2 linked regions of the Oryzias latipes genome follow. The protein of the gene in region 2 purifies or fractionates together with the protein of the main gene of each other region. This does not show direct contact. Links are inferred from orthologs where the notes say so. Each region holds a gene or a part of one and is shown on either strand. Other genes may lie near its edges.

What was found. Proteins that work in one complex are often made in the same cells at the same time.
Region 1: the proteins of atxn7l3 (region 2) and taf12 purify together in Homo sapiens (affinity purification with mass spectrometry; 5 studies listed by BioGRID and IntAct, counting the BioPlex papers as one, with this or other methods). This does not show direct contact. The link is inferred for Oryzias latipes from reciprocal best matches to the Homo sapiens genes ATXN7L3 and TAF12.

The regions. Positions count from the first base shown.
Region 1 is NC_019874.2:22,541,693-22,547,415, forward strand, and holds taf12 (transcription initiation factor TFIID subunit 12), read left to right. Parts: upstream 1-2,233; 5' UTR 2,234-2,387; intron 2,388-2,902; 5' UTR 2,903-3,031; coding exon 3,032-3,109; intron 3,110-3,649; coding exon 3,650-3,727; intron 3,728-3,953; coding exon 3,954-4,068; intron 4,069-4,181; coding exon 4,182-4,270; intron 4,271-4,378; coding exon 4,379-4,414; 3' UTR 4,415-4,729; downstream 4,730-5,723. Other genes in the region: uncharacterized protein LOC101164588, read right to left, coding at 507-558. UniProt on the Homo sapiens protein: The TFIID basal transcription factor complex plays a major role in the initiation of RNA polymerase II (Pol II)-dependent transcription.
Region 2 is NC_019866.2:4,612,146-4,617,965, reverse strand, and holds the start of atxn7l3 (ataxin-7-like protein 3), read right to left. Parts: upstream 3,375-5,820; 5' UTR 3,090-3,374; intron 2,531-3,089; 5' UTR 2,488-2,530; intron 2,400-2,487; 5' UTR 2,351-2,399; coding exon 2,300-2,350; intron 2,220-2,299; coding exon 2,087-2,219; intron 1,996-2,086; coding exon 1,824-1,995; intron 1,743-1,823; coding exon 1,645-1,742; intron 1,567-1,644; coding exon 1,544-1,566; intron 1,458-1,543; coding exon 1,412-1,457; intron 982-1,411; coding exon 944-981; intron 859-943; coding exon 790-858; intron 702-789; coding exon 658-701; intron 106-657; coding exon 34-105; intron 1-33. UniProt on the Homo sapiens protein: Component of the transcription regulatory histone acetylation (HAT) complex SAGA, a multiprotein complex that activates transcription by remodeling chromatin and mediating histone acetylation and deubiquitination.

The DNA of each region.
Region 1 (5,723 bases), on a different chromosome or scaffold from region 2:
TTCTCGACCTTGTTTTGACATTTGGTTTCAGACTTCCAGCAAAAAAAATGACATTGAAAATAAAGAATTTTATACTCGTCAATGTCCCATGACAAGCAACTGATGTCTCTCCTCTTAACAAACAAAGGCACTTTTTCTTTCGCTTTAAGCAGCAATCATTCTAGAACCCAGCTAAGAGCTGTGCTCATATTCTTATGCAAGATCTTCAGTTGGCCTTTACATGTAAAAAGGCGTTTTTTTTCGGTTTCTCGTTGTTTCAAAAGACATTTCCTGTTTTTGTCAGTGGTTTATAACCACTACAGTACAGCAGCAAGTCAGAAACTGCAAAACATAAGCAAACTAAGAAAATTATAAGAAATTAACTCACACTAAAGAATACTGTAAATACAAAACATACATGTGGCAGAATTATGATCAATGCTTTTACAAAAATAATTGTTTAGGATAAATAAATCTAAGAAAAAGTTATTTTAAGACTATCACATATGTACAAAAAACATATTTACCATGACTGCTGTGGATCAGGGCAACAACTGCAGCAAGAAGAAAAGATCTCATTGTTGCAGAAAGAAAGACTAACTTAAATACTTGAGAAAACGTCGAGAAGTCTTCAAGCAGCGACTAAAGTGAAATGAAAGCGTCCTGCGTTTTTATCTGACGCGCTGTAGGTGTGGCTTTCGTTTGGTGTCCAAAAGCCCCCAAACTTTTCTGTCAATTTCACTTTAAAAATGAAAAGAAAGAAGTAAGATTTGTTTTTGTTTTTTTTTATTTTTTATAAGCGTTATCGTTGTTTTTAGATTTAATGACAGAGTTTTGCTGATGGATGTTGACATGGGAAATGACTGTGTGAACCAGAAACGCAGCTGTCCACTCTCTGCTCCAATAATCACGACTGCTCTCTGCGCGTCACGCGTCGCTCAGGGAACCAAACCACTTCTGTTTTAACCTGAGCTTTGCGGGTGTGTTTTTTTTTCTTTCCTTCCTCATAAGAGCCATCATGAAAAAAATGTGTTAACGATGTTTCTCACACTTTTTGGTGCGATGTGGAAAACCTATCAAGCCAACATTTCACGCTTTATTTTATTTCACTGCTCACGGGGGATAAAAAAAATTGTTTTTAGTGTAATCTTAGTTGTTTTTTTTTTAATTAAGACCTTCAGTTATATTAAAATGAAAAAGGGAAAAAAAGAAAAGGGAAAACTCGTTTACATCTAACAAAGACAATGCCTACGATGGCGTATGCTACATCATCTTGCATTATAAAAAAGTTTGTTTAAAAATATATTTCCAATAAAACAACAGCATGGCGTGAAAATAAACACTGAGATGTGAAAGTATACAGAGTATTGAGACGTAAAGAAAATCATAAATATTGGCAACCAGACCAATCTAGATTAATCGATTTGTTTTCCTGTGATTCAACCAGATCGATCTGTCTAAAGCAAATTGGTAAACGAATTGACATCTACCTTTATCAAATTGTTTCTAATAGTCATAGACAACAGACAACACACATGTAATGGCAGCAAAAAATGATCGAGCCGTCATTACAGTCCAATGCTTTGAAACATTTTTCATTTTTTGCAAAGAATTTTGTGACCATAGTAGAATGGTAGAATGTTCTAATATTGTTCAGATTATTTTATTTTGATGTGGAAAAACAGACGTGGGCTGAACTTTATGAAACTAAATTTTGACTGTAGATTTACTATTAATTGTTGTTTACGTGTTTGTTTGTTTGTTTGTTTGTTTGTTTGTTTGTTTGTTTGTTTGTTTGTTTGTTTGTTTGTTTGTTTGTGCACATATTTAATTTACATTTGATTATCTTGCAAGAAATACAACAAGGAATCTGTTCAGTACCGAGTCACACTGGCTGTTTTTTTTTGCTCAATTTTAGGTCAGTGAATTGGATGAAATTGGATGTTTCAAAATGAACCGATATCAACTTTGAATCCTATTAGCAACCACAAATTATGATACAGATCAAATCGTTTTTTAAAATGAATCGTAACACCCTTAATATTTATTATGTTTCCTATCAAAAACTTAAAAAATAACCCACAATCTTTTATAAAGCAACTGAATGACAGGCCATCTAAAAAACAAGCGTTCTCGTTTATTGTATTTATATATTTTATTTTCCGTGCTTCTCCACAGAGGCCGATTTTGTTCACGTGTTATTGAAGTGCCACACACAGTCCGACAGGGGGCAGCGTAGCGTGGACACGGTTCTACCGGAAACAGAATCGGGCAAAAGCGGAAGTTCCGAATATTGCTCCCTGAATTCTGGAACGGTTGTTGCCTGTTCGTAGACAAATTTAGTGTCAAAGACGTACCTTTCCCTCGAAGTAATGACGAAAATGGACAGATAGTGTTAATTTAAAAAGGTGAGTCAATAAAAAGCTGCCACGACTTAGAATTTTGTTTGAGGAACGCCGAACTGAGAAATTAGCTGCTGAATTTAGCAAGGCTAACTTCAAAGCTTTGTAGCTGCTATTGTTTTTAGCACTAACAAATCTGTTAACGTTGGATTCTTATCTGTGTACTAAAGAATTTATGTAATAATGGCATTTGCTTACTTTGTTGTATTTTATTAAATTAGCCTAAAGCCCTTAAGACATCGTGTAGCGTTAAGCTAAGCGCTTTCTGCTGCGCGCGTTTTCCGGTCTCTGTTTTGGAGTAAATAATTAGGGGAAGCAGACATCAGATTTACTAGTTTAATTAAAACATACTTGCATTTTGTATTGGATGCAAACGCTAGTTTTTAGGCTTATTAAATGCTGCTTTAAGCTACATGCAGTTAACCGAAGTAAACTAAATTGGGAGGGAAATGTTTTTGGGAATGGATCATCTTTTTTTCCTAATTTCACTGAAATTTGTACTGTTTTTCTACAAATTTAAGGTTGTGGTTCCTTGAAAAAGCGGTGCTTTCGACTGCCACGCAGGATTTGGGAGAGCCTTACCCGGGCCACCAGCGTCTTGTAACTTAAAGAACTGCTTTGCGCTTCCTCCTTGACCTTGATCACTGAGAATGGCCAATAGCACCCCAATAATAGTGAAGAGCCTGCCTGCTGGTCCTGCAGGTAGAAGCAGCCCAGAAGGATCTCAGGTTGAGTATTTTTCAGTTTTGTATTTAGTATACAGTAAACCCTTGTTTTTCGCGGGGGTTACGTTCCAAAAAGAACCCGTGATAGGCAAAATCCGTGAAGTAGAAACCTTTGTTTTTTCTTACAATGAATTCATTCATTCATTCATTCATTCATTTTTTTGAATGAAGAACACAATGCACGATGCAAATCCGTGAAGTAGCGAAACCGTGAAAAGTAAACCGCGTTATAGCAAGGGATCACTGTAACCACTTTTATGTCCTTATATTTTTATATATAACTTTTGAAATGTATTCTATTTGAGATATTGTTTATATTTTATCTAATGTAAAACTGTTTCATCTATTTGTCTTTTTTTTGCAACAACTACCATGTACGCTTTTGAATTTGATGCTTTGTATTTTGTTTTATTTTTTTACCTGAAAATATTTCTATTGTGTGACTGCAGCTAACAGCTACTTCGGGATACTGTTTAATTGTGAAACACAAACCTTACACTCACATGTGTAAGTGTTACACTTTCTCTTTCCTCTTGTCTTCAGGTCCTCTCTAAGAAGAAACTGCAGGACCTGGTGAGAGAAATTGACCCAAATGAGCAACTGGATGAGGATGTTGAAGAGGTCAGATTAAAAAAATATTGTAACCTCTTATAAAGACTATTAAAAGACATGCCTGTTGTATACCTTATTTAATATTTTCAATGCTTACGTCCGTCCAGCATTTCAAACTGTTACGTAGAAAACATGGATTTTTGTTACATTCATAAATCAGAACATATCTTTATTTGTGTGTAAAATCTTACTTTGTTGAGTTCCTTTGAGGCCTTCATATGTTTTTTCTTCTCAGATGCTTCTACAAATTGCAGATGACTTCATAGAAAGTGTTGTGACAGCAGCCTGTCAGCTGGCACGCCATCGCAAATCAAACACGTTGGAGGTTAAAGACGTTCAGTTACATCTAGGTATGTTTTTTACAGGCTAAATGCCCTTTTATTTTGTACTTTTTGTTTGATAAATATTTAGTGGAAACTAAGGGATTTTTGTCTTATTGTTGTGTTGTTTTTATGTATTTTAGAGCGTCAATGGAACATGTGGATTCCTGGTTATGGCTCTGATGAAATTCGACCGTATAAGAAGGCTTGCACCACAGAAGCTCATAAACAGGTAAACGATAGAGTAATTTTTCTGTTTGTGAAGTCATATTATTGCCGTAATTGTTAATTTTAGTTCCCTTTTCTTGAGTCTAATGCTCCCCATGTGTTTCTTTTTCAGAGAATGGCACTGATCCGCAAGACGACTAAAAAATAAAAGGGCAAGCCCTTAGGTTGAACCCAATTTGTATATTTTCAAATTTTTAACTTTTCTTTTATGCAATTGTTTTCATTTCCACTTGAGTTTGTCATTTTATTTTATTGACAGTAGAAAGCGTTTTGATGAGGTCGTCTGTCTTTGACATTAAATATCGCTCAATTGTAACGTCTCCCTGAATTTGAGTGTGTGGAGTCATTGCACAATGTTAGTACTTTGGTGTGTGTTTTTTTTTTTCCCACTAAACAGACTGGTAGAATTTCATTGTAAGTCTTGTCAATAAACACTTGCTGGAAGAATTCTTATGAATGGCGACCATTGCTGCTCCTCAGTTTTTTTTTAAATCCTTTTCAACATATTGATGTACACTTGGCCAAATCTGAAACGCATCTAAAATGACTTTGGCGTAGCTATTTTGCAAGTGTAACAAAGTGTGCTTTGAATTTTTTTTACTGTTTATACAAAAAGTTTAGCAGTAAACGGCGCATTGTTGCCAAAATAAATTTACCCGTGGTGTTAAAAAATAACAAATGAACTTAAGTGCATGGCGTCCCTAATGTTTTAACTAATAAGCTGTATTTTTAATCTCCTTGACGACTTTAATTTAGCACCGACATGAAAGCAAAACCATAAGAAATTTTTAAAAAATAGTTTGAAATAAATTCAGGCGTCAAGGGGTGAAAGACTTAAAAATGACAAGCCACAACATTAAAAACACATAAAATGGTTAACCTTTTTCCTCAGCCTGGTACTAAGGAACATTCAGATCGGTTAGATTTAGCCAAAAATACATTAAAGGTTGGGAAAGCATGAAATATTTATTGAAATTTTAAGTAAAATTATCATAGAATCCAGTAGTTTTCAAAACGTTTTTCCTAATACTTGACAAGAAAGGTTTCTATTTAAGTCTAAAGAGCAAGAATGAAATTATTGTTAGACCATGTCAAATACTCATGAGCCTTTACTTTTGTGCTATCCTAGGCACTTTAACATTGGGAATTGGGTCATCTAGACCCCAAAAGACTGCGCTGAACTTTTTTCTTCAATGATTTGTGATCTCTAATGGATTACATGAAATCCTCTCCACCTTTATCCACCTTTGTCATGGTAGGAAGAACACGTCAATGGTCATTTTGACCCCATAGGATAGCACAAGTGTTACGTTATATGTCTACAACAGTCTTCATTTTCAGCACCAGCAACAAACAAAAATGTTTACAAGAGTGCCAGGTTAATGACACCATCAGGACATTAGTGGGATTGGCTTTACACCATTCACAAATACAAAATCTATCAAGTTAAAAACCAA
Region 2 (5,820 bases):
ATTATCGGGTGAGGTGGGGGGAGGCACACTCACGCGGACGGCCCCAGGAGGAACACCCTGACGGCCATCCTCTGCTCGTCCGTGTGCTGAGGACATCGCTGAGACCTGGAGGGACACAAGGTGGCATTACATGACCCTGACTGACGGCGTGCCCACACCCACCGCACAGCTCCACGCCTCACCCCGGGGGAGGCTTCCCATGATGCTAACGCGTCTCCTCAGGCAGACGGACGCATTAACCTGCGTTTCTGAGGAGGAGGGTAGCACGATGGAAAGCGGCCCCGCATGCAGGAGGTGGGACGGACTGCTGGGAGCCGGTCAATGACCAACACCAAGACGTTTGGTCAACGACCGGAGCCGTCTTGGTCCAACTGACGCTGATGTTTGTCCGCTTTTATGGAAGACTTTTGCAGAATTTGGTTTTTGTTTTAAAAGGGAGAAAAGAAAAAATCTCCAGGTTGCCACTTGTGTTCCCCTGAGTTAGTCTCTACACACTCAGCGTGATGACAGACAGGTCGACCTTCCCAAACTACAGGGCAGGAAGACGACAACCCTACAGCAGGTTAGTCTGACAAAACAACTACAAGTTACAACATCCAAACAAGAAAATGCTCTGAAACTAGAAAACAACTAATAATTTTGGATATTTCCAACTACCTTGTACACATCTTCTTCGTGTGCTCTGATATGACCCCACACTGCTGTGATAAAAAAGACAAACACACACACAGACATGGTACATTATGCTGAGAAATGAAATTTTCCTGCTGATGTGTTTAAGGTGCTCACTGTAGTTAGAAAGGATCGGACTTCATCAGGGCCCAACATCTCATAATTGATGCCAGCGTTGTAGTTGTACTGAAATGGAGAAAACCCCAATCAGTGAGGTGCACAAAAACGCCCCACAGCCCTGCACTCGTAATGGAGGAGAGGCGTCAGTCACCTTGTAAGGATCTGCACTCATGCTGCTCCCAAGCTCACCTGGAGGAGGAAACGTGCAGCTCTTCATTCACAAAACTGAAGCTTTGTGTTAAATCACGTCCGACAATCAAGTCAATTCTACTGTCATTTGTAGTCCGACGGCCTTTCTCTTTACGGAACTCTTATTTTGAAAAGCCCACTGAGCCGTTTCAAGTAAAACAATACATTGAAACTTTTCACTGCTAAGCCGTTAACTTTCTCCTTTAAAAAAAATGTATTTTTCTACTAAAATATTCAACTGCAGGCCAACAAAATTCTAACCAAAAATAATCTAAGTATCCCTCATTTTAATGAAATTTTAACAAGATGAGCTTGTAGAAGAAATTTAATTAGACTGAAGCAAATAGTACTTTAACCAGTTTCTCTCTGTTGGGAAACAACATATTTTTGATATTTGTTTTAACAGGATGCAGATTTCTGACCCACTTACCGTTTTTGTGTTTCAGAGTTTTTGATCTTCTTGGGGAATTTTGACTCTGCAAAGAAATATGTATTGTTTTAAATAAGACTATTTTACAGAATAAAACGAATAAATTGTGTCAAAAGGTGATCAAATCAATACCTTGTCCGATTTCCTTTTCTTTGCTGAAAAACAAAGTGTGCACAGGTGTGTTTATTTTGTAGCGTCACCGTCCGTCTGTATTTTGACGTTTCCACGCTCACCTCTTTTTTCGGCTCCGTATGACCAGTCGTTATCGTTAAGGTCATCGTTGTCTTCTTGGTCGCTCTCCGATTTGCTCGTGTTGTTGTTGCTGGCGAGTCTGGCCAAAACGCAGAGGAAAACCGCGAGTGTGAACCGAATCAATAACAGCGCCTGACTCAAACGGTCGCCACCGACAAACCTGCGGTTGGCGATGCGGCTGCTGTTGCGTCCCATACCCAGACATTTCTCCAGGTGAGGAGCAAAGCGGGAAGCTGCGATCAGTCTTTTACAGTTGGGACATTCACACTCTTTGTTCTTCCACTGATTGTACACCTGTCCAAAGATGTCCACTCCTGGTTGGTCCACGATTTCTGAAACACATTTAAAAAAAACAAAAAAACAAGTCAAGCAAACACAGACAACGATAAATGAACAGAATCAATTGGACCGAACGGGACAGACCAAATTCTTTCATGCTCTCTTGGTCCGTTTCATCCAGAAAGAAGTAGCCCTGCTTCACAGCACGATGCACCTCGAAACACAGGCCCAAACACGCATCTTCCACCAGTTCAGAGTAGATGTCGTTCACCAAGGCCTGCCAGCAGACAAGACACTCAAGTCAAAGAAAAATGGTGGGGTTATGTAAAATGACCAAATGAGGTGATGGGGATTCACCTCCAGCTTGGTGTTGTCTGGGCCTGAGAGAGGCATATCCTCCATTTTCATTTGAAAATCTATCCAGGATATCTTGATATGGAGGTGATGAGCTGGTGTCCTTCAAAATAAAAGTTCAACAATCATTTTAAAATAAGAAAAGAAAAGGTTTACTGGAAACAAGAAAATAAAAGTAACAAACATCTTACTTTTACTTTGAATATCAAGCCTTGTAGCAAAACTTTCTTCATTCTGATCAGGAGAAGGAAACAGAGGAGGATGAACAATCTCCAAACAAAACAAATGCAGGTGAAGAAGCTTTTTCAGGGGAAAAAACAAACTTTATTTAACATAAGCAAGCTGGAAACTAAATAAATACTCCATGGTAGCTCAGCCTAAAAATACTACAGTAAACACATCCAGCTGGGTTCAGACAAACTTCCATTAAGTAATAAATAATTGAATTTTCCATGTAGACCAGGTTATAACCGCTTTCCCCTCCTATTTAATGAGAAACAGGAGGTGTAAATGAGTTCTTATTTATTAATTTTTTAATATATAATTGCATCTGGTCGAATCTAGATGTTATTATACTAATTATACTTTAAATTGTAGGAATGTAAAAGCACTTTCTTCCTTTTTTATTATTAACAGTTTAAACACAAACATATTTAATATGTTTAAAAAAAAGTATTAGTATTTATGCCTACAGACAATCCTTGGATATATTTTCCTCGTTTGTCAGACGGTAACCCTAAAAGAGCAGATTGATAGCATCAGAATTCGAGCGAAAACTGTTTCCTCTTCTTACCCGGTCGTGCCAACAACAACTCAGCCTGAAGCAGGCGGTTTCTCTGGGAGAAGCCACATAACCGGTTCGGTCCGGATGAAACACGCAGACGGGATGCTTGTCCTTAAGTCGCAGCCATCGTTACGATTTACGGTTTTATGCTTCTGTTGTCCGAAGTCAGAGCTGCCGCAGGTGGAGGTTAGCTTAACTGACGTTAGAAACCCGCTTGACATCGAACAGGCCGACAGCTTGGCCACACACAGCAGTAAAGCGAAGAAGAATAACACGGACGGGCTTCGGGTTTTACTTTCAAAAAATAAAAGCTGTATGTCGTAAACGGTGTTGGATTTAAAGACAAGACTTTGGGATTTGGTCATAATTTCTTCTTATTTACTTTACAATTATTTACATATATCAAACTGTCAACCGCGTCACAGAGGAAAATGTAATTCAGAAGAACTTTCTTCAAAAAAAAGAAATTACTAAATTACTCTGAAGGTACATATATGTGCTTCCGGTTCTATTGTCACGCTTGATTTAGAACCTTCCTTTATTAACTTTAGCTATAGATTTTATAGACTTTCTATAGATTCTATAGACTTTTAGATTTTATTATCAAATATTGTGGTTAATATACATCACGGCTGCTTAGTACTTGCCCCATTCAGAATTTTGAATATATTATTAAACATAAATGCCTTCCAAATTAAAAAAGTGTATTAGATTTTACAGCTTTTCAACATCAAATAGTTGATTTTAGGGTTTTCTGCGTGTTCTAACTTTGAAAACAAAAATTTCCTTATTTAGATAAGCAATGCTATGATTTGATTCAAACGCATATGGATTACTGTTTGATGAAAATATTTCAAAGTTGCAAACTGGAAGCAAATAGTTGAACATCTCAGACAACATTAAAAGTGTTGAAATGTCGTTTTCAGTCTTTGCATCCTTGATATTCATGGTAAAAAAAAAGTGAAATGTTTTGGTTACATGGATGTTTTGCCTACTCAAAAACATAGCATCTTTTCAAGCTTTTTTGTTGTTTATTTGCTCAAATACTTGAACTACAAGGACATAAGAACACCCGGCCTCAGCTATATAAAACATCAAATTCTGTCAAATGGTCAGCAGTACAAACTTGTAAAGCTTGGCTGTTATAGAGATCTCTAGAAACCAACAGCTGGCAGAGGAACAAAAAACAAACGGGTGAATTTAACCAAAAGTTCCTCCTGAAGAGTGAAAGACTCACCGGCTTCCAATATCACAGATGAGGGTTTCCAAAAATCAAAGTACTAACAAAATAATAAGCACTCGATACAAAAACTGTATTTACAGGGGGAAAAAATTACATTTTTTATACTCCAAGTCCACTGGCAAAAGCAGTTCTGCAAATCCCTTTTCCAGACCTCCCCATGTCATTTTCCCTTTCCCTCTTCCAGGTTTGTCAATAGTCTGCGCTGGTTTTGTTTAGCGAGGAGATTCGCTGCGGTTCCAATCCTCCAGATCGATGCCTCTCGCTTTGTCTGAAAAGCCAAATCTACGGCGACGTTCATTTAAAGTTCAAGTTATAGGTGACTCGACAGTGAAGACCTTTGGACGAGGAAATGTCAAAAAAAATTGAAGAATATCTACATTCATGGTGTTGGTATGATGTCCCACATACATACGTGCACGCCGTAGTCCCATGACGGTGTCCAACAGACGGCACACATTAAAGCAAAGAAACACACATCCTAAAACAGTTCTGTGCGTGCGTGCACAAACTCAGGACAGATTTACAATAAGTGCACACTTTTTTTTTTTTTTGGATAAGCTTGAGACGGAAACCCATAAAGCCAACCCCTTAAAAAAAAAAAAAAAAAAAAAAAGTAAAGATATCTGGAGAGGGACAGTTTTAAAACAGATTGAGAAATAGATGCATCGGATTTAAATAATTTTAAAGAGACAAACAACTTCAGTTGTACAGTCACTCTGAGGTCTGGACAAGCGGCTAGTCAAAGTCCTTAGAGACTTAAGGATCCAAATTCTTGTGATCCACAGACAACCGTTCTGTTTCCAAAGCAACAGAGTGGATGTAAAGAGCTGCAAAGACGCCGGTTTCTGAGGAGGATTTCATTTAAACACACACACAAAAAATAAAATAAAATAAAAAACGAGCTGATCGAGGAAGTGATCACTGCTTTTGAGTTTAAGGAAGAAAACATTTTTTTGTGATTAACCTGAACTTATTTGTTTCAGGAGAATCACATTCTGTAAAAGTGACACAAAATCCTTAACTGGAGGTGATTACAGTTACGGCTTTAAACCTGTTTAATATGTCAGATTATAAACAGTTCAAACCAGATGTGAATTCTGTTCCGACATGGAATGGGCTTATTACAGCTAATATTTACATCCACCAGGCCTCGATAGGTGCGATCAGACGTAACAGTTTACAAAGCTGTGGGACAGAAGCCTGAGGGCCGGCTGAAGGACAGCTGATCCTGAAAGACGAATGGAAACCGAGCAGAAGTTTGTCAGGAAAACAAATAGGATAAAGAAAACATGAATATAATGTATGCATGCATGCTTTAACACTGGGCTTTTACTCTAGCAGCATTCCCCTAAATTCACTGAAACTGGAACATAAAAATAAAGGTGTATCGTTTACATCAATGTTTGTTTATTCTTGTAACAGCCAGTTGTGTAGCTGTGGTTTAACGTTTGACCGGTCGGCTAAAATTTCGAATCCATGCATGCGGCCACGTTGGAA